2 linked regions of the Drosophila melanogaster genome follow. The protein of the gene in region 1 purifies or fractionates together with the protein of each later gene. This does not show direct contact. Each region holds a gene or a part of one and is shown on either strand. Other genes may lie near its edges. The genes, in order: spas and atl.

Region 1 (11,483 bases):
AAATCTCATTAATTAGTTCGCATTTTAGACGACGAAGGTAAAATTTTAGCGACGCGTTCAACGTACATTTGCAGCCCCTAACAACTTTGAAAGTTTCGCAAAATTAATACAAACCGGTAGCGGCTAAACTTGACCGTCAAATGAAGTGTGCGAACAGAGTGCAGAGCAAGTAAAATGCGGTAAATTTACAAACGCAGCCACGTCACAGAGAGCGCATTAAAGAAAAAAGAAGAGAGTGCGAATTTTGACAGCGAAATTCGAGTCTGAACAATGGACATTAAGCGAATGCACTATAGTGCGGCGGGGACGATAATTGTTAAGCCCAGTTTTCGGCACCGCTGTCAGGCAGCAGGGTCGGGGCGGAGGCGTGGCGGTTGTTGGTGGCGGGGGAGCGGCATTAAAAGATGGCAGCACAAAAGCGAACAAGATACATACATATACGTACATATAGCGGCAAGCTGAAAAGGCAAATGAAAAGTCCCGCATTCAAATCGTCTTGGTATTGGTATATTGGCATTAGTTTAAATACACTCAATAGCCAAAAGCGGAAAAAAGCAAAAGCAAAAGAAAAGTGGAGACTCATGTGAGGAAAACGCAAACAAAAAGACCAGCGCAAGACGCCTCTCTCTGCGTGTGTGTGTGTGCGTGTCGGTGCTAATGTGTCAGTGTGTGTGCGAAAAAGAGACGAAGAAAATAAGCAGCAAATGAGCAACCAAAACCACCCCGCCATTCCCTTTTCGCCGTCTCTTCAGTTCTGTGACTTTGACTGACATTTTCTAGCGCCGCCGCCGCAGAAATAATCAAAATCAAGTTTAGTTCTATGCAAATTAAAATTTGATTTCGCAAAGTGTGAAGAAGAAGAACACGAATCTAATGCAACCGTGTGTGTCACCCGCCCGCCGGTTTCGCAAAATTTCCCACATCTTTCTCTTCCTTTTCCCTGTTTTTCTTTCTCCTCATTTTGTTATCGACGGTCATTCATCTTCTAGTCGATTTTCGTCGTTCTCCTTTCGCCCTCGTCTCGCTGGCGTGCCTGAGTGTGCATTTCTGTGTGCTGTGCGTGAGTGGCCCAAAAAAAAATTTGTAAATGTGAATACAGAAATATATTAATTATAAACTAAATCATTTTGCAAGGCCCGCAAATTTGTTGCGAATGAATGGCTATTGTCAATTGTTGGCCATTCGCTTTGTTATAAAGACAGGCAGTCTCTTTCCCCTGTCCTTTCCCACCCGCCTCTCTCGCTCCGAAGATAGCTCACTCACTCTCCCCGTGTTTTTCGTGTGCGCCAGTGTGTGTGAGCGTGCGTCTGTGTGTGCGTGTCCCTGCACTGCTTTGCCGCCTTCTTTGTTCCCATCATGCGAAAAGGGGGCGGGGCGGGGTAGTCGATTTATATCCATATCATTTGCGCCTGTTTTAAGGCCCACCGATCATGTGCCATTAGACCTTGTCCCACTCTTCCGGTTATCAGCGCAAAACTAACCCAAATTTACCTCTCTCTTTTACAGCAGCAACGATTCCAGGGGTCAGCTTCGAAACCCGAAAAGTACACTCAGCCTGCGAACTTTCACGCTGTTTAACTTAGCTAACTAATTTTTGTACAAGAGCAAGAATAAGTAGTCGCAACCAAGTATTCATATGTACATTTATACAATCCTGTATATTGGAACGGACAACTATTTATAATCACAACAACAACATCCGGATCATCGAAGAAGGATCGAGCAATTCTGAAATACCAAGTAGTGTACACCAAGAAACCCCGAATCCAAATCCCAGGCCCCCAGGAAAGGAAGTCAACCGATTATAGACATATATATTAGGCGACTAATCGTATATTCCAAAACACTCCATTAGCGTTTAGTTAGGACAGATATATTTATACGTATACATATAGATGTTTAACGAAATTTTCAATTAGGCGCCAGATTAGGAACAAAATAAAGCAATAAACGACGAACCTCAGCGTTAAGCAAATAGATCAACCTACCTAGATTGAGCATATAAAGTTTATATAATCCAAAAAAATCAAGCCAAGCCGAGAGTAAGTCGAAAGTAGTAGAAAATCAAAGTATTCAAATCTCTCTTGGAGTTTCCTGTTAGCAGCTAGCACCAATTAGATTGCCGCAAATACACCTGTTTAATTAGCAGACACTTTAGATTTTGTACGTAGCTAGGAACTTAATCTGCAAATTTTTGATACATCCCCTTCCGATTAATGCGGCCAGGTGCAGTAGTTGCAATTCCGGTTTTAGTGTAGAGTCAGTAGATTGTCGCTGTAGCCTAGTGTATAATCAGATCAAAAAAGCCACAGTCCCGTGACATCCGACAGCCATGGACGAGTCGCAACCGAAGACCCTATACGTGGGCAACCTGGATAGCTCAGTGTCCGAGGACCTGCTAATTGCCCTCTTCAGCACCATGGGGCCCGTCAAAAGCTGCAAAATCATTCGGGAACCGGGCAACGATCCATATGCCTTCATCGAATATTCCAACTACCAGGCAGCCACAACAGCTCTGACCGCCATGAATAAACGCCTATTCCTCGAAAAGGAAATCAAGGTAAGCTGATTAGCTTCTCTTAAGTTATCAAGTGGACAGCGGTCATTTTCATTCATTTTGTTCGAAACTACACTCTTGCAACACACACATTCCCCACGACCAAGCCCTCATGTTATTTTAATTATGTAGAACTTAATTGATTATTACCTATTAAACGAATGCTCTTCGCAGGTCAACTGGGCCACCAGTCCCGGCAATCAGCCGAAGACAGACATCAGTTCGCACCACCACATATTCGTGGGCGACCTCAGTCCCGAGATTGAGACAGAAACACTGCGCGAGGCTTTCGCCCCATTCGGAGAGATCTCCAACTGTCGCATTGTGCGCGACCCTCACACCATGAAGTCAAAGGGTTACGCCTTCGTGTCGTTTGTGAAAAAGGCGGAGGCAGAGAACGCCATCCAGGCGATGAACGGCCAGTGGATTGGCTCGCGCTCGATACGCACCAACTGGTCCACGCGCAAGCTGCCACCACCACGCGAGCCTTCCAAGGGCGGAGGCCAGGGAGGCGGAATGGGTGGCGGACCGGGCAATGGGTCCGGTGTAAAGGGAAGTCAACGCCACACCTTCGAGGAAGTGTATAACCAGTCGAGCCCCACCAACACCACCGTATACTGTGGCGGATTCCCGCCGAATGTCATCAGTGACGACCTGATGCACAAGCACTTCGTCCAGTTTGGTCCCATCCAGGACGTGCGGGTCTTCAAGGACAAGGGCTTCTCGTTCATCAAGTTTGTTACCAAGGAGGCAGCCGCCCACGCCATCGAGCACACGCACAACAGCGAGGTACATGGAAACCTGGTAAAGTGCTTCTGGGGCAAAGAGAACGGAGGCGATAACTCGGCCAATAACCTCAATGCCGCCGCTGCCGCGGCAGCAGCCTCTGCCAATGTTGCCGCCGTTGCGGCAGCCAATGCTGCGGTTGCCGCTGGAGCGGGTATGCCCGGTCAGATGATGACGCAGCAACAGATCGCCGCCGCAACAGGAGCGGCGATACCCGGCCAAATGATGACACCCCAGCAGATTGCGGCGCAGTATCCATACGCGTACCAGCAGATGGGCTACTGGTATCCACCTGCGGTAAGTGTTGTATTCTTTAAATACGCAGTGACCTAAAGATTGACCCTAACTTTGTGCTTTTCTGCAGACTTATCCCACAACCCAGATGCAGACGCAATACATGCAGCAGGGCTACTATCCCTACGCCTACCCTACCAGTGCTCAGCAAGCGGGAGGAGTCCGTAAGTTTACTTTTCTCAGTTGCTGAATAATCGTGACCTTGGCTTAAACAGCTTGCATACAATTTTCAGCGGCTGGATACCGCATGGTGCCGCCGAATGTAGCATGGGGCGTGCCCGGAACTGTGGTGCCCGGTGTGACGGCTGCCGCAGCATCCGCGGCCGCTGCAGCGAACGGATCACTTGCCCCCCAAATGATGTACAGTGCTGCGATGCCACAATACCAGACCCAATGAGCTGAGATGTGACGCCAGCTTCGACGCCGTTTGCAGCATCCGGGAAGTCGCCCCCAGCCGCAGCCACAACCACCTCTGCTGCATCAGCTTCCGCACCTGCAGCAGTTGCAAGCGCATTACGCACGTTTAGGTTACGTACAATACCGAGTAGTAGCAAAGTCGGAGCCGCTCCTGGCCATGCCGTTGACCAGCGGCAGCAGCCACATTGACGGTGGCAATGTATCTGGAGATTATTAAGGATGCGCGAGTGTCCACTTTGAAGTTGTGGCTACGGTTGCGGCTGACTGCGGTGGAAGGAAGCGGAATCGGGTGTGGTATATAGCCCCCCAAAGTCGAACGTTAAGGCGGTGCGTGGAGCTCAACTTCAAGTGATCCACGCCGGCGACAACTGAAAGAACATCAATTGAAAAGCTCCGGGCGATGGGCGGGTAGCTGTAACAATCTAATCCAATCTAAGTACGTGTTAAATTAATTTAATGATTTCTAATTTAAGCAGATATAGGCGTATAAACGAAACGGAAATAAAATAAACCGAATGAGAAATTCAACAAAAACAAACAAATAAAAACTGAAAAGAGAAAATGCTAATTACGCGCGACAGAGTTAAAACAAAAAGAAAACAATCGAAACAAAAACGTGACAAAGCAAATTGTAATTGTAACTATGTGGAACATGTGTCAACGAAAACTGAAGACGGAAAGAGGGTAGTTTCAGTGGGATGAAAGGATAGCCGCAAGCAAGCAAGCCGAATGCAAAAACAAGAGGAAAAACAAATTTAGTCACTAAGAGAATGTAAATTCGAGCATACATATTGTATATTTCCAATGTGGAAAACGAAATGCGATATAAATATGTAAAATGTAAAATAAAGAAGCAAAAAAATATATAAAACAAGTGAGAAAACGAAGGGACGCTGGTTTTTATATTGAGGTAATGAATTAGGATGTGGAATTATTATTTCAAACTTTAATTTATATCATTGATGATAGAAGTGGTTACTACTACTACAAATCTGGTGGAGGATTCAGCGGAGTCTAAAATATAGTTAAAAAGTAATTAACTTTTACAATTGTGCTAAAAAGTTTTCTTAAGGTATAACATACATACATGAATGAATTTTATAGCTTTAATATTCTCTAGTGAGACGCAGTTTTTCTGCGAAACTAGTTTTCATGAATGCTTAATTCTTCTGCTTACTTTCTCTTAATTTAAATGCACCTGGTGATGTCAGCCGTTGCTCAATTCTCAATACACTACCAATGGTTTCCAATAGCTTAGAATTTTGTTGATGATTAAGAATGCAATTGATGTTTCTTGAAATCGATTTTATTTAGCGTATTCTATAGATTTCTTTATATATATAGTTTTATATGCATGTAGTTTTTTTTTGTATCTGTGTTTAGTAACTAGTCAAAGAACTCAAATTCCGGGTGGGCGAGCTGCGTTGAAGCTGGTTCAATGTGTCGCGATAAGCGACGGGCATGTGCGCGGGTGAAGATGTATCTGATCGATCTGATAACACCAGATCCATACGCACCTGCTAGGTACAACATTTTTGGGTGTGTTACTAATAATATAGGTGAATCGGAGACGATTGTATTTATGGCTGTAGGTACATAGATTGAAACAAAGGAACTAAACTAGACTAACCATACGGACAGTGATAACTATTAAAACTTAAATACGATTCTGCGCTGGTAAATGTATCTTTGTGGGTGTGTATAAGTATATCATCGGTCTTAGGTCTACGCTTACTTCTAGATTACATGTAGCTTGTGGATGGGCACTCAATGTACAACAAAAATATGCTTTATAGTTCAAGGATACAATGGAAGTAGTTGTGAACTCCTTGGGCCGCCTGTCTTACAAAAAATCACTACGGAATGTTTCAAAAAACTAATTTATAAAGCAATGTGGCCTTGAATTACTATCATAAACGAAGATAGGGCAAACCTACTATTCTAAGAACTCCAATGAAAAGTACAGATCTTAGAAATATATACCATGAGTATGAGTATAACGATAATGGAGCTGCATGGCAAATGTTGCACCACATGGACATGGTGGTTAAACAACGAAAAAATACAATACAATGTTCTTAGGCTAAAACACCAGAAATAGCTGGGAAACAAATCATATTAAATAACTCACAGGTAAATACAAATGTAACAATGTTTGTGAAACGAAAAGTCTACGGATTGAATAGAACCTTAAGGGCGAAAAACATGGGTCACATAATCAAAACTAGTGTAACGACAATGGGTTGCGCTCTGAGACTCACATCACAGCTTCTCCAAATTGGATTGATGAAGGAGGGCAGGATCATTGGCTAGAACAGACTAGATGGTGATGTCGCCATAATCTTGCGACCACTTCTCATATGAGTTGAGGCTTTGCGGCGCCACCGAGCGCCTGATGCGCTTGAGCGAACTGTGAAAGTCCTGCTCTGTGATTGCACGCATTGCACTGATGTCCAGACACTTCACTTGCTCCACATTCAACTCTCGAATGGGCTCCAATGCGGCGTCCTTGGCCAGTGCCGTTAAGTCGGAGCCCGAGTATCCGTCTGTTATCTTTGCAAGGCGACGCAACGCCTCGGTATCCAACGGACTGCCTTGCTTCTGGAGCAGTCGATTGAGGAGCAGCTCGCGGGTTTGCTCGTCGGGCAGTGAGACGTAAACGCGCTTTGTGAACCGACGCAGGGCTGCCTCGTCCAATTCCTGCGGTCGATTGGTGGCGGCCAGCACCACGATCCTGTCTCCGTCTGGATTTCCAGGCAGCCCATCGAACTCCACTAGAAACTCGGTCTTTAGGCGACGCGATGCTTCATGCTCGCTGCTGCTTCGCTCTGAAAGCAACGAGTCCACCTCGTCGATGAAAATAATGGAGGGCTGCATGTGACGGGCCACGGCGAAGAGAGCCCTCACCAGTTTCTCGCCATCCCCCACGTACTTGCTGGTCAGCGAGGCAGCCGAAATGTTCAGGAAGGTGGCACTACACTCAGTAGCCACGGCGCGGGCCAGCAGTGTCTTGCCATTTCCGGGAGGACCAAACAGCAATAAACCCTTAGCCGGTGCACGAAGCCCTAAAAAGGAAGAAGATTGGTTATGGTGACGGTTCTAGTCGCAGAATAACCAACTCACCCGTAAAGAGTTCCGGTCGGACGGAGGGTAGAATGACCATTTCCTGTAGAGCCTGCTTGGCCACATCCTGACCGGCAATGTCAGTCCACTCCACTTTGGCCCCACCCTCGACGATCTCGTCGAGTATAAGTTGCACCAGCTTCTGTTCCACTCCCTTCACACTAACCACCGGAGTGCTGGCGCCACTGCCACTGGGTCCGTTGTTGTTTATGGGAGTCCGCGAACGCTGGGGCGGCGTATTACGCCCCGAAGACTGTAATATGAGTAATTTAGTTTAATTAGTATTTTAATTTCTGAGTATTTGCCAAATGTGTAAAAACAAATTTAGTTTACTTATCAGATACTCACAAATTGTCGCCGAACGGCGGGAGGCGTTGCAGCTGTCTTGGCTGGTTGCCTTTGGACTGCGCCTACAGATGTTTTGGAGCCAAGGTTGCGGGGCAGCGTTTGTGATTTGTTGGCCACGGCCAAGTTGACGGGTCGTTTGGATCCAATTGTCAGTTTGCGGCCAGATGCTGTGAACGAATTAGCACAATCAGAGATGGATAATGCGGAAGAATATACTCTTTTACAAGTTTACAATTTGGCCAATCGAAATAAAAAATTCTAAGAAAATCAAGTGCCAAGTGAGGTGATAGGGATTGACTAATCGATCTGCTTATGGTGGCTTTGCGCTGGCGTGTGAGGATCTTGTTGGGTGCGCGTTAGCTGGTGAGGAACTTACCAGTGGGTTGGGCACTGGTGGTGGCCTTGGGCCCATAGCCACTGCTGCGCACCCTTAGTTTCATTGGTTCGTTGGTCATTCCTGCCAGCATGGGCTCCCTGGTCTTCTGCGGCTTGCTTTGAGCCTCTTCTTTCTGCTTCTCCTTTAAGGAGAGGCGCTGCATTTGCAAATCCTGCTCACGCAGAGCTGCGCACCGGATGAACATGTGCATATGGACAAAACGGAGGGGACAACAAAAAAGCAGGGGAAAACGTGCAAAATGAAATAAAAAAAAAATGAGGTAAACAAATCCTATGTTTTAGGGGTATAGGAAATATGACTGGTCACTTACCTAGAAAATGGAGACGATCCCGCGCCATCGAAAGGTTTGTCTGCATCTTGTCGTGCAGGCGCTGAGCCCGATCCCACACATCACCACGTCCACTCCAGCAATCGACAGCTATGCCATCCTCTAGCTCCTTGATACCTTTTCGGTAGAGCTCAATTGCCAGCTCTTTGTGACCTGAATATATAGAATAATATTATTTTATGTTTATTTTATAACTATTATGTTCAATCAAGCTCGCTTTCCTCTTATAAATAATTTGACAAAGAGTACGCTTATATGCATTAGAATTTAAAAATCGCATGCTTGGAGAACTTCCACTCCATAAAAGTCCATCAAGGCAGACAACCCTACTCCTGTTGACATTTGGGGCATCCATTGTGCGCGCGTTTTGCCTTATTGATTCTCACACTCGACAGACAACAAAAGCGGACAGCGGGCGATGACTCATTGAGCATTCGAGCACTCGAACTCGAACTGGAGCTGCCACCCCCGTCGCCGAAACTCACCTTCGTTCTCCTCATCAATTTTGAGCGCCTTGGAGATGTACTCGAAGGCGCGTCGATGGTGATGCTTCTGCTTGGCCAGCAATGGATCGCCGGGACCAGGTGAATACCCTCCTCCCGGACGATTGGCGGCCATCTCCAACGGTTGAATGGGCCTGAAACGCTGTGGCTGATTGGATAACTGCTGTTCCTGTCCGTCACCTTCACGGTTCAGCTCCGAAGGATGGTTCAACGACTGCTGTTGCTCCTTGGAGGAATTCTGCACCACGATTTCAATATTACAGTCGCGTCGGTGCGGGCGGTATATCACCTTTGTGCTCGCACCGTATAGGTAGCGAAAAATACAAAACAGCTGATAAATCAGCGAGCGCAGAACGTTGAAAAGAAAGATTATGGGGAACGAGACGACGTAGAGGTTCTGTTTGTGCACAGAGGACGAGTAGCCGCCGTACGAATGGTGGTGGCCGCTGCGTGGGGAGCACGTTGTGGGGGTCAGGTCATCTGTGGTGGTGGTGTCGTCGTCGCCGTCGGGTGAGCTGCCCGGACTACGGCGATTCGATGAGGAGCCTCCACCGGCGGCAGATGAACCGCCGGCAACAACGGCAGCAACGTTTGAGGCGCTCGACGAGCGGTGAGTGGACTGGCGACCACCGAGTCCTCCGCCGGATGATCCTGCCCCGCTGCTGGACTTTATTGGTGACTTGGTGCTGCTGCTGCTGGCGCTGGAGGAGGACGACTGGTTTTTAGTGCGTACCATCGATATCGATTCCGCGCTGTCTGCGCGTCCAGCACTCCGGCCCCCTGCTCTCCTTGCCCTAACCCCGTGAAAGTTGCACGGGGAAATTATCCTTGTAAGCCAAATCGGTTGGCCGTGGCACGCGTTTGTATCGATGCCGCACAAAAAAACAAACAAATCTCGAATATTATTGTTGTACGTCGTTTGAGCTAGTGCTCATTTTGCTGATATCCGAGAGTACTGATTTTCTTCCGCACTTACAACTCTCACTACGTTGAAAATTGAAGCTAAGCTCTGGAGTCCCAGCCAGTGCTGACCAACTATCGATTACCAAATCTAGCGGGCAAGGTTGTGAAGTCAGACAAACAGGCAATTTCAAAGTTTAAATGGTGGAATGTAACGGATGAAATATAATTTGGGAGACTTTCACCGAAGTGCAGTATGGAGACATTCGTAATTGAAGGTAAGTTTGATTTATTGCCTTGTTTATCATTTCCTTTTTGTTTATACGAATATTTTTAACAGAAAACATTTTGTGTCCTTTACAACATCCTTAACGGTTGGCTGATTTAGCGGAAAAACGCTAACTTGTCATATCGTAGAGATCCAGCTGTCAATAAAGTTACCAGACAGTTTCGGATCCGATGTTTTTGGATGGAAATATTTAAATTACGTGATCAATTTTAAGCAACTGATCGAAATAATAGTTTTGATTTGTTAAATTCGTAGAATTCAAACACAATTGCCGGAAAATTGGGGAAAAATATCGCATTATTTGGCGGTCGCCTAGTGTGGCAGCCCTGGTAGCTGGGTTGCGATATATCGACCTTGATACACCTACTGCCATCCCCATCACTCTGGGTTGTTTTTTTTTGCGTTTTTGCATAACAAAATCCTAGAATTTCGGCCTAAACGCCAGCGATCTCTGACCAGCAGAGCACGAGCACAGGAGCGGCATATCTCACTTGGAGAGCAGTCGGAATGGGACAGTACACGGCGTCGCAGCGCAAGAATGTTAGGATCCTGCTCGTCGGCGACGCCGGGGTGGGTAAGACGTCGTTGATTCTGTCTCTGGTCAGTGAGGAGTACCCGGAGGAGGTTCCGCCTAGGGCTGAGGAGATTACCATTCCGGCGAACGTGACGCCCGAGCAGGTGCCCACCAGCATAGTTGACTTCTCGGCCGTGGAGCAGTCGGAGGATGCCCTGGCCGCCGAAATTAACAAGGCGCACGTGGTGTGCATAGTGTACGCCGTGGACGATGACGACACTTTGGATCGGATCACATCCCATTGGCTGCCGCTCGTCCGGGCCAAGTGCAATCCCTCCCTGGACGGCGAGGGTGATGCCGAAGCGGAGGCGGAAGGAGACACACAACGAGAGCCCATTCGGAAGCCAATCGTTCTGGTGGGTAACAAAATAGACCTCATCGAGTATTCCACCATGGACAGCGTGCTGGCCATCATGGAAGACTACCCCGAGATTGAGAGTTGCGTGGAGTGCTCTGCCAAGTCGCTGCACAACATCTCCGAGATGTTTTACTACGCCCAGAAGGCTGTGCTGCACCCGACTTCTCCCCTGTATATGATGGAAGAACAGGAGGTAAGTGCTTCCGGAGTGGATCATAGGTCGCAACTATATCATTGCGCCGTAATTGGCGGTTTTGCGATAGGTAATCAGCTTGTACTCTTCTAATAAAACTTCGCATTTTCAGCTCACATCCGCCTGCAAGAAGTCGCTGGTGCGCATTTTCAAGATCTGCGACATTGACGGGGACAATCTGTTGAACGATTACGAGCTGAATTTATTCCAGCGACGCTGTTTCAACACACCACTCCAGCCGCAAATCCTTGATGAGGTGAAGGCCGTGATACAGAAAAATGTGCCCGATGGCATATACAACGATGCGGTCACCCTGAAGGGCTTCCTCTTCTTACACTGCCTTTTCATTCAGCGGGGAAGGAACGAGACAACCTGGGCGGTGTTACGGCGCTTTGGCTATAACGACCAGTTGGAGA
Region 2 (11,063 bases), 590 kb from region 1:
GGCGCTTAGCAAACCAGCCAACAACAATGTGCACTCTGTTTATACATAGATTGCTTATGGAATTCTATACCAAAGATGAGATAAGATGGAAAAGGAGGCGGGTAGGTGGGGGGAGTACGCCTTGGATGGAAATTAAACAAATTAAATTCGTTAGCGATTTCTTTATATTACAGCGTTAAATTTCATATATCCGTTTCAGACGCATATCGTTTGTAAAAAAACAATTTAAAATTTCACTTTTCAACAGACACGAGCCACTTACTAATGATGCACTTACTCTTAAATATACGTAATATAGACCATCTACACTTCAATTAATGCAATATAAAAACAACTTCCTTTAAGGGCAATTAATAGCTAGACGTTTGTGTTTCCGGTTCTCACGCACTATAGAAGGGTTTAGATTTATACAAATTAGAGGGGGAGTCGTCCTTTCGAAAATCGAACCATTCTACTTGGTCCATGGACACCTAATTGCGCTTCGCTTTGCGCTTCTTGCGACTATTTGGCGCCTGGGAGGAAGAGGACGGGGTCGCTGGACTTTGGGTGCTGACTTGGCCCTTCTCTTCGTTGCTGCCGCCGAACTTGCGCCAGATGTTGTGAATGAAACCGTCGGCCTCGTTAATGTTGTTGCTCCTGTTTGATTTGTATGCCACATTGTTGTTGTTGTTATTATTATTGTTGTTGTTATTGGTTCTTGCCGACGGCGGCTGCGACGGCACCGGCTGCTGCGTTTTGTGCTGCGCTCCTTGGGCGTATTCTCATGACCGCTTCACCTTGCCATTGGACGCATTCACCGAGGTCTGGGAGCGGTAGGAGGCTGCGCCTCCGCCGACAGCCATTTCGGTCGCATGAGTGGCAACATGGTGGATGCCCTTCTCCATGCAGCCGTGATAGATGGGTCGCATGAACTGCAAGCATAGCGTAGGTTAGTACACGAACATCTTCGCTAGATTCCCAGCTACTTACTTTCTCCCACAATAGCGTTGCAAAGTCATCCAACTTGCCGCCAAAGTCGCTGAGCTCTCCGCTATATCTGGAATTGATAAAACATCGTTGGCAAAATTATCATCAAAAGCTCAAGCTAAATCAACCTACCTAATGTAGGCCCACAGAGCCAGCGTTAGAAGCGCCACACCCATAACCAGGTTGCAGAAGTTGGCGAACGTATAGAGACCCACCAATCCAAAGATGCCGCTAAGGATGTACATGATGACGGCGCAGGCGAAGTACACCGCCGGTGTCCGTGCTGCCTTAAAGATGTTCTTGCTCTCGTTGTGTGCTTGGTAGTTGGTGAAGACCTCCTCAAGATCATCTTCCAGTTGCTTGCGGAATTTCTCGGTGAACTCCTCACCACCCATCTTGCGCTTGGCGGCGAACTGGAACAGTGCCTTGTCCTTCACCCGCAGGTGCTCCGTCTGGAGATGGGCGGTGCTTAAGTACGGCCGCGTTCCACCGCACACCTCCTCCATGAGCTGTCCGTACAGCTCCTTGGCGGCGGCCACGGCAGTCAAATGGTTAGCCTCTGCGGTGGCCACCAGCATGCTCTTCGGCTCGGGCAGCTCGTTGCCCTTGTAGATGTTCATGTACGATTGGAAGTACTGGATGAGATCGCGGGCCCGCACCCGCTGTCCGCTGATCTCCTTGTAGACAAGGTTGTCCGGTGCCAGCAGCATGGGCACCAGGGAGCGCAGGCTACTCTTAAACTCGGGCGTGATGTCCTGCAGCCGACCGTCAAATTTAGGATTGGTGGCCACATTGAGACCTGGATGGGGCATCAGGAAGCAGGCCACCTCCGTGAAACAGGACGAAATGTGGCGACGCAGGGACTGTAGTTCTGGGTGCTGTTTGTCGGACACCTCCAGACGTCGTTTCAGAATCTTATCCCCGCCCAGTGCACCATATTCCGCCTCGTAGGGAAAGCTCCAGTCCCGGACGAGGAACTGCAGACGCTGGAACGGCTTTTTGCCGGTGTCGGCCAGCGCGAGGCGACCATACTCAGTGAAGAGCTGCAGGTGCTGCAGGTCGTCCTCCTGGATGTTCTGTGACAGGTTGTATATCTGCACCGAGGACAGCATTGTGCTCAACGCAAAAACGGTGGCACAATCGCGCACCGTGCTCTGGCTGTCGAAGGCGCCCTGTGTGTCCAGCAGAATGATGGCTATCTTGTCGCCGTTGGGATAGTCGTGCAGGAATATGTCGGACCACATGAGAATGCCGGTGGTGTCGCGCTCAGATCCGCCGCGCCAGGAGAAACCCTCCAGCGGATCTGATTCGCCTCCCAGCCAGTCTGTCGCATCGTGATGCACATACTAAAATGTTCAAAAGAGTGTGGTAAATGGAAGATGCTTGCAGTGGCAGCAATTTCAAGACTCACCTTTGAATACATATAGCGCAGAAAAAAGTCCAGCAGGAAGCTCTTGCCCTTTCGGAAGGCTCCAGCCACGGAGACAACGCAGACGAACCGATCCTTGACCTCATCCCGCATTAGGACCTCACTCAGCGCATCCTCGTTGAGCACAAATGTGTGCTCCTCGGAGGCGTTGATCACCTGCACTGCCGATCCGCCCATTATGGTGTTTGGAATCCTTGTCTGCTATTCCGTTTGCTGTCTCTGTTTTACCGGCTATTTTTGCCTCCGTTGGGAAATTCTTTCTTATTAATCTTTTGGATTTCGACCTGTCAACTGCAAGCATAAACAGACAGCTAGATAAGTATGGAGAAAATGTCTGCTCTGTTTTTCAGCGATTTTTCCATTTCCGGCAAAGGGAAAATTTGCGAGTCTAGGCCAACATTTAATTGCGCAAGCCTCTGCGCCGTGAGTTCATTTAAATTTGGCACAGCCACGAGACACGAGCGACGGACAGAAAGGCCTGCAATTATGAGAGGTGGCCAAAAATAAACCCAAACATGCGCTGCTCCCCGATCGCAGAAGATGTCAACGTCAACCGAAGGGGCAGTGGGGCACTATGTAAGCGGATTGTTCAGGTGCGTGGGATATATGTACATATGTATGTATGTACCAATCTATCCGAGGAATGGTACTTGGTAGATGTGTAATCAATCAGTAATCAATGTTTAGATACAACCTTACCATTCAATTAGCATATGGCAATCTGGTTTTCAAACTATAGTTGTTGCTTATAAAATCAACTGTTTTTAGGAACAAACTAAACAGATTCGGCTGAAGACACAAGTATACAATTTAAAGGCATATGGTTTTGATTGTCACTTTAGAAACTACGGCTACTAAATGATAAGAAAACCGGTTTATTACTACTACTACTGACTAAACTTTCAACATTAAAACAGATTTCACGGTGTATTTTACAGCCCATATGGAGAAAACATATTCAATTATTTCAGATACTCAAAATAACTTGGAAAGAAATTCATCGGAAACCGGTCTTTCGGTGATTTTATTGACCTTATTAAAGTTCTTGATTGATGTGTTGTTTTTTTGCAACACGATCACTTATTCATTTGTTCCTTTTGGGTTTTATCACACCAAATGGCGAATGTGTACTCAAAGGGTTTCCAAATCGGGTTAAACGAATTCAGCACAGTTGACTGTTCGTATGTAAGCCGTAGGAAGGGAACACATTAAAATTAATTTCGTTAGCTGCGTTGTGATGACGTCGACAACTTTTGTCGCGCTACGCAGTTTGACCACTTGAATTCTAATTAGAAACGCAGCCAAAACAAGTGAAGAACATACCACATTAAGACAAGAGATCGGTGGGGAATTATGCCACACTCCCGATTATACAGGCCACATAAAAGTTATGCTTGCGTCTAATTGAGTCCGATTCGGATGCGGAATGGGAATATGAATATAAATACACGACCAGCGCGACCGTCAACCAAATCAAACTGCAAGCACAACACGCAAGTCACCAATGAATCGGCTACCTCAAAAAGAGAGCGAAGCGGTACTCTCTCTTTTCCGATCAACTCTCATTTGCCGTCGCCACATGGCAAAATAGGAATAGACACCGTGGTGGAAGGGAGGTGGGTAATGCAATTGGTCCGGCGGCAGCTGCAACGTTAGCAAAATCGCGTCTGTCCAATTAACACATTGCCACTTAATTAAGACCAACTGTTGTCCGAGACTTTGGCGCGCTGAATGGGAATTTAAAATTCAAAATAACAATCACATCTGGCAATGCCGTTTGGAACCAGGCTTGTCCAGCAGGTGTGTGAGCGGTGCCGCCAGATACGGACGATCTTCGCAACACACCAGTTGTCCCACTTACACTTGCAGCTTTTGCAACTAGCGGGCGATGTAAACAAAGGTGTTGGAGAGTAACAGCAACAGTTGTGCGGCCTGCGTCGACGTCGGCAGAGCGATTAGTCAACTGGAAATGGAAACACGGTTGCCGAGAGCAACAACAACGGCAGTGGAAGAAGAAGCAGCAGCAGAAGCGCTTGGAAAATGTTGAGCGGGGAAAAAGAATAAAAGTTTTTAATTTGCCTAAATTGGCTGCCCGTGAAAAGTGTTTAATTGGCAGTCCTAGCCCCCAAAGAAGCAACAGAAAGCCCAGGCGGATATCAGTCATCCGGCGTGCAGGAGCTTAGCTGCTCATTCGAGATTTGCAAGCCATGGAATGCGGTTCACACAGCGGACACCGCCCAATTCCGATTTGGCTTTCGAGCTGCCTCGTGGCCATGTGCTTGGGCCTTCCGCTAGGAGCAGCTGTCCCCCAGGAAGCACCTGCCTACTACTACGTTGGTTGCTACACGGCACGAACGGATCTTCTCCATGAATCGGTGTACGCCAAGACACCGCAGACCTGCATCGAGATCTGCGAGCATCAGGGTCACCACTATGCCGTGCTGGCCTCCGAGAAGTGCTTCTGTGCAAATGTCCTGGAGCCGCAGGAGCAACAGGATGAACAGCTCTGCAACACTCGCTGCCTGGCCAACAAAGCGCAGTATTGTGGCGGAGTTGGTGTGCACTCGTACTACTCCACCATACTGACCAAACAACCGGGTCCGCATCATCTAAGAATCTCGAACAAAACGGAGAACAGCCTGACCCTTAGCTGGAATGCGTACGAGGCGAGGAAACTACTCCTGGCCGGCGGCGCGGAGGCAGTGCTTCCCAACCAGCTACTGGACAACTTCCTGATCAAAGCTCAGGTCCTGAAGACCTACTCCTCGTTGCCCGCCTTCCCGCAGCCTGAGTTTATGGTGCAGAGCACGGAAACGCAGTTTGAACTCACAGACTTGCATCCCGCCACGCTGTACAACATATCCGTGAGAGCCATGTGCAAGGATGCCCAAGTAGGTCAATCTGAATGCGGACAGGCCTCGATAGAAGCCACCACGGAGGTTGGTAATGCTTGAATTCTAACGAGAATCCTAACCAATAACATTACTACTCCAAATTTCAGGTGGGCCTTCCAAGTCCCGTGCCAGCACAGCCGAAAATCCTCAGCCGGACTGACCGCACTGTAACCATCGAGTTGTCGCCCATTCGGAATGACAATGGACCGCTGAGCAAACTGCTCGTCATCGTGGAATACGTGGACAACGCCCTGAGTCAGCCATTCGATGCCCAGCTCCTGGGCAGCTGGCAGCAGGCTCAACAAGATGGAGTGCCCTACTACATAGCCGCCGAATTGGACTACGATCGACCGGAGGACAATCGCACCCGGCGCTTTGTGGTCGGCGATGGCAAGCGTTACGGACGATTTACCAATAAGCCGTTGGATCAACCAGATGCACATGTCCACATCAGTCTCGGATTGGTGAGTAATGCATTAAATTCGAATGAATATCTCTGTAACTATTTATATTCTAGGTGAGCACACTGGAGGGCGTTACCAAGACGATGTACAGTCGTGGAACTCACGACCAGCATGTGACATCCCTAGACGACTTTAGTTACGCCACCTTTGAGAAGGGTCAATCCTCGGTGGTTGCCCTAGCTGTCACCTGTGTGATCTTCGGCTCCTGCCTCCTGCTCAGTCTTATTGCCTACTTCTATCTGCGCTACAAGACCTGCCGCGGGCGACGATTGACTGGTGGCAATACGCACGAGATGACGCTGCAAACGCCCATAATCGAGCGGGAAAATAACGGATACCTTGTGGAGGACGATCCACTGCCACACTCGCCGGAAAACTTCAAGCAGCAGTTGCAACAGTTGGTGGAAGGATACGAACGGATACCAAGGAATGCACTACGACTAAATGTGAACGATGTGATCGGAGACGGACGCTTTGGTGAGATTATAACCGGAAAGGTTTCCACAAACGATTTTGCCAGAGATTGCACCCTGCACGTGCTCTGTCTGGACGATCTGAATGGTACTACACAGGCACAGTTGCTGAGAGAACTACGTCAGTTGTCTCAATTGAAGCGCCAGGAGCATTTGCTAGATTTCTATGGAGTATCAGCAAGTCCCGATTGGTTCTACCTAATCTTCGAGCAGCAACGCATGAGTCTAAAGAGAAAACTGGTGGAGAGTCGCCTGATGGCACCGTCGCCACGCTTGACTTCCCTCTCTGAGCAGCTAGTGCTGCAGTGGATCTACGAGCTTGCCAGTGCCATGAATTATCTATCCAGCTGCCAGGTGGTGCATCGACAGCTCTGCTCGCACAGCGTCTTCGTTACCAGCGATTTCAAGCTAAAACTGAGCGTCTTTGGACCGCTGCCCTACATGAACATTGCTCGCCAGCAGCCAGACCACAACCGGTGGCTGGCCCCGGAGGTGCTGCGCCATCAGCATCACCATTCCACCCGTTCTGATGTCTGGTCCCTGGCCTGCGTGGCGTGGGAATGCTGTGCCCTTGGCGGTACTCCCTATGCCAATGCAGTGGCAAGTAACCAACAGCTTCTAGAGGCCATTCGGGCTGCAGTGCGTCCGGCGCAGCCAGCCTACGTCTACGGGGATCTCTACCAGCTGCTGCTCAACTGCTGGCAGCTGGAGCCGAGCGAGCGGAGCAGCTGTGAGGACGTGGCCTTCGGAGTACGTCAGCTGATGACCTCACCGCGTCATGCCCTCAGCTTTGATCGAGTGGCCGGCGGACTAGACACCCTGCCTCCGTACCTGCCGCAACTGGAAGCCGTTGCTACGATGGGCTGAGGTGCAGCCGAATAGTATAATTAGCTTTAGTCAGCGAGAGACCACATTCGCATAGAGTAGATTTCGGTTCTGAGTCACTGCTGCTAAGAGAAAACATCACTTCATTTCGATTTTAGATGAGTTCACTTTCAGTGTTCTGAAGAGAAAATAATTTGTTTTAGAATTTACACATTGATTTAATAAAGCTCATAAATTGTTATTATCCATATAATATTAGAAGTGAGCATTTATGAAACACAATTCGATGTTTATTGTTAATACGCACAAACTTCCTACAAATAAAAGAGTGTTCTATGCCAGAGCTTATCAGATCTATAAGGTAGTTAATTGCTTATCTACAACCCGAAAGAAAGGAATCGACTTTCCCCCACGCGAAACAAAGTTCAAGCGAACGTGCTCGATGGAGAGCGCGATAGATAAAAGACTACTGACAGTCTGGCCCCCAAAATTGTGTAATAAATTGAGGGATCCATAGCGAATGGATCTACCAACAGACCAGCGACTGTGATTCCCCCGCCGATCGCTGATGTTGCACAAACCAGACAAAAGCGAAAACTAAAAGCAAAAAAAAAACCAAGGGAGAGAGCCGCGAATGCGAAACTTTGATCGCTGGCGAGCAGCAATTAATAATAGAAAATAAACGGCGGTGTTGCTTAAGTGTGAGTGGATCAAAATTGACGATTAATCAGTTTAAAGGTCTTGCATTGCATCTATTGTTTGTTATGTTGTTTAAGAATTAATTAGGGAAATTGTTGGCAGCAGCCTAGATGCGGTTACATGCATTATTAGTCATCCGAAATAGTAGGGCACTTTATGTATGTATATTCCATTGGTTTGGACAATCATCTTATAATGAAGCTACATAGCAAAAAAAAAAAAAAAATCTAAATCTGTGTATATTCTTCCGATATGCACTTTTCAAATGAAATGTTCAAAATTCGTTATCAGTACTTAAAATTTCTCACTATGTACAAGCTTATCTCGGGATCCTTCCCAAAGAAGATAAGCCATTGTTTCTCTTGTCGACGTGTAACTATTGGATCCACCAAAAAACCCAAAGCACATGGCTCACCCGGAATTTAGAGCGACTTTCTTATAGAGTATATGGTAAATACGGTAAATGAAGCGCAACGATATCCATAGCGACTTTTGGACGCTTACCTTGCCCGCAATTCAAGGTGAAATGACGACGAACAATTGAAGTCACTGAAATGTGTATACATTCCGAGCAAATGGGCAATTATTATTAATAAATCGAGCTGAATGGCTGCTATCGGAATTCAGGGGCTTCGACTGCCGACCATGCTCATGAATATGTGGAAGATGATGATGATGATGAGGTTCATCCGGTATTGGCCAACTTTGCGAGTGTTTTGCATTCGCCTGGTTAAATTGTTATTGTTTTTGTTACATATACACACATGGAGATTATGAGGAATCCAAGGAAACTGGTTGCTCACACACGCACACCAACGCACTGCGACGGAGCCACTCACGCACACTACCAAATGGTCGGCTAACTGCGCAAATAATGCGGCTTCTGTGTCGGCCTTTGTTACTCACTTTACTTAACCATTTACATCGGACACTGGACTTCACTGCGCTGCGATTTTTCGACACTTTGGAAGCAGAAAAGTACGTATTTTGTTTGTGCTCTGCCAATGGTGTGACCGTACACCGTTGGGCGAAAAATCACCTATAAGTGTGGGGGTGAAAATTCATTAGCCAACACTGAAATGCTTATCGATAACATTTAGCTATTTTTAGTATTAGCTAACTGGTATATATTAACGGTCATCATAAGGTCACACTGCAAACGGTTAAACGAACGGCCACATTGTGTTGGACCGATGATGTGGATTTAAAAGTTAAATATTTCAAACTTAGTTATAGCAAATAGCTATGGACATCACCCAGAGCTTCAAGGCCAGCGTAATGACGGTGCGCCTGCAGCGCAAGGCCGAGCTGGCCGGAAAGGCCAAGCCCGCCACAGTGCCGACAAAAACTGGACCAATTGGCCCAAAGGATGACTTCGCCAAGCAGGCCAAGGAGGTGTGCAACAAGATCACTTCGCTGCGCAATGTGCTGATCGAGAACCGCACCGCCTACATGCGCATTGGCCAGCACCTCAAGTCCGCCGCACACATGACCGACGCGCAGCGGGATCTGATTGATCGCGAGTCGGAGAAGTTCGTCACCTTTTACACGCAGCACCTGGCCAAGATGCGCAGCGATTGGAAGAGCGCCAAGCGGAAGCCGCAGGAGCGTCAGCACATCGACGCCGTGCTGGACCTGCTGGTCAGCTATTTGCACAGCGTGGAACAGATCTATCTGGACCAAAAGAAGTACCGTGTGCAACACGAACTGGAAACCTATAGGCTGCTCAAGCTGGCGGCGGACAAAAAGAAGATACCAGTGCGTCCGGCGGGCAGCAACAGTGGCAAGCTGGGCAGGCGCCAGGTCAGCAACGATGACAGCGAAGCCACGAAGTCATCTTCACAAGCAAATGGCAACCACGACGAGTCCGCCGACAATGACTGGAATAACGACGCCTGGGGCGACTGGGATGAAGACGAGGAAGGCGACGAGGTGGACGATCACGATGGCGAGAAGGGCAAGGAAGCCAATCAGGCCAATCAACACAAACCGCGTACGCGCAAACGAAGCAAAGCCAACAGATCGGATCTGAACAACTCATCCTCCAAGATGGCTCTGGATGAGGAGCTCCAGCAGCAGCAGGAGGCCGACGATGACGATCCCCTAAGCGCCGAGGATGTGCAGCTCTTCGAGGCGGAGAACGTACACATCTACAACTTTCTGCAGGGCGTCTCCGAGGAGGTGGAGCAGATCGAAAAGAACGTGGTAGACATTGCCCAACTGCAGGACATTTTCACCGAAAAGGTAAGATGGCATGATAACACAAGTCCCAAGGAATCCTTGCTGTTCTTAACAACGATATCTTTAGTTTAATTTTGGTGAGAACATATTGCTCCATATTGCCAAGAATACTTAGTGGGTTTAAGTGGCTGCCCATATGTTTGTCGACTTAATCCTTCAATTAAAAATATTAATTGGCTTCGCTAAAATCCACATCCTTCGCGATTACAATGGATGTATAAGCCGGGCTCTTATTAGCATGCAATTAATTATTAACTAGATCCAGATAGATCCACGTCCTAATCTCATTTAATCCTCTTAAATTTCCCTTTCCCTTTTGTAGGTCGCCATGCAACAGCACAATATCGACAGGATAGTTAGTGCCGTCGTGGGCACCACGGAAAACGTCAAGGACGCCAACGAGCAAATCCGGCAGGCCACTCAACGAAATGCAGGACTACGCGTGTGGTCGCTGTTCTTCCTGCTGGTCATGTCGTTCTCCCTGCTCTTCTTGGACTGGTACTACGATTAAGTGAAGTCCCCAAATTTATGTGTAACCCACCCAATTTAGGGAATGATAAATGCAAAAATGTTTTGTTATCGTTTGATCGCACTAAAAGCATATTTTGTTTATTACATAATTTATAAATAAAAGGAAAATATTTGTTTAGGCTATTCAACTGCCTTGTTTCAATTCAATGAAACCTCGTACAACAATATGGAACTAAAATCGATTTGAGCGCCTTGCTCACACATGTCTCAGTAGTTAATTTAAATTCTACACCAAAATGTGTTTTAGTGTGTTGCTTGGTACATTGTTTATATCTAGGTCCTTAGTCATATTATTTTCATTAAACGCTCTTCAAAAAAATATATATATATATCTAACTGGGAACGGAAATCAGCAATAAGTATGTATATGTATATATATGTCTAAGGCCTAAAGTTAACCTTTGCGTATTTCTTTCAGTTGGTTTCATTACATGAATGTCTAGATTCTAACTAGCTTAGGTCTAATATTTTGTAGCCTTAAGATTTGTGTCTGAGGGAGTGTATCCTTGGCTTAGTCGCTAGGTGTTCTTTTGTTTTTAGT

The links.
Region 2: the proteins of spas (region 1) and atl purify together in Drosophila melanogaster (affinity purification with western blotting, with the first as the bait; one study listed by BioGRID). This does not show direct contact.

What each region holds. Positions count from the first base shown.
Region 1 is NT_033777.3:24,036,515-24,047,997, reverse strand, and holds spas (spastin), read right to left. Parts: upstream 9,784-11,483; 5' UTR 9,490-9,783; coding exon 8,736-9,489; intron 8,404-8,735; coding exon 8,233-8,403; intron 8,088-8,232; coding exon 7,902-8,087; intron 7,693-7,901; coding exon 7,526-7,692; intron 7,431-7,525; coding exon 7,178-7,430; intron 7,120-7,177; coding exon 6,374-7,119; 3' UTR 5,344-6,373; downstream 1-5,343. Other genes in the region: Rox8, read left to right, coding at 2,333-2,560, 2,732-3,640, 3,708-3,801, 3,853-4,034; Miro (mitochondrial Rho), read left to right, coding at 10,450-11,067, 11,180-11,483. UniProt on the Drosophila melanogaster protein: ATP-dependent microtubule severing protein. Stimulates microtubule minus-end depolymerization and poleward microtubule flux in the mitotic spindle. Regulates microtubule stability in the neuromuscular junction synapse.
Region 2 is NT_033777.3:24,623,406-24,634,468, reverse strand, and holds the start of atl (atlastin), read right to left. Parts: upstream 8,799-11,063; 5' UTR 8,657-8,798; intron 7,404-8,656; exon of another isoform or gene 7,094-7,403; coding exon of another isoform or gene 5,807-7,093; intron 5,754-5,806; coding exon of another isoform or gene 5,397-5,753; intron 5,335-5,396; coding exon of another isoform or gene 4,603-5,334; exon of another isoform or gene 4,394-4,602; intron 4,179-4,393; exon of another isoform or gene 3,719-4,178; intron 2,687-3,718; 5' UTR 2,573-2,686; coding exon 2,378-2,572; intron 2,313-2,377; coding exon 1,099-2,312; intron 1,037-1,098; coding exon 970-1,036; intron 912-969; coding exon 762-911; 3' UTR 1-761. Other genes in the region: wsck, read left to right, coding at 4,603-5,334, 5,397-5,753, 5,807-7,093; Syx18 (syntaxin 18), read left to right, coding at 8,996-9,994, 10,314-10,502. UniProt on the Drosophila melanogaster protein: Membrane-anchored GTPase that mediates the GTP-dependent fusion of endoplasmic reticulum (ER) membranes, maintaining the continuous ER network. It facilitates the formation of three-way junctions where ER tubules intersect.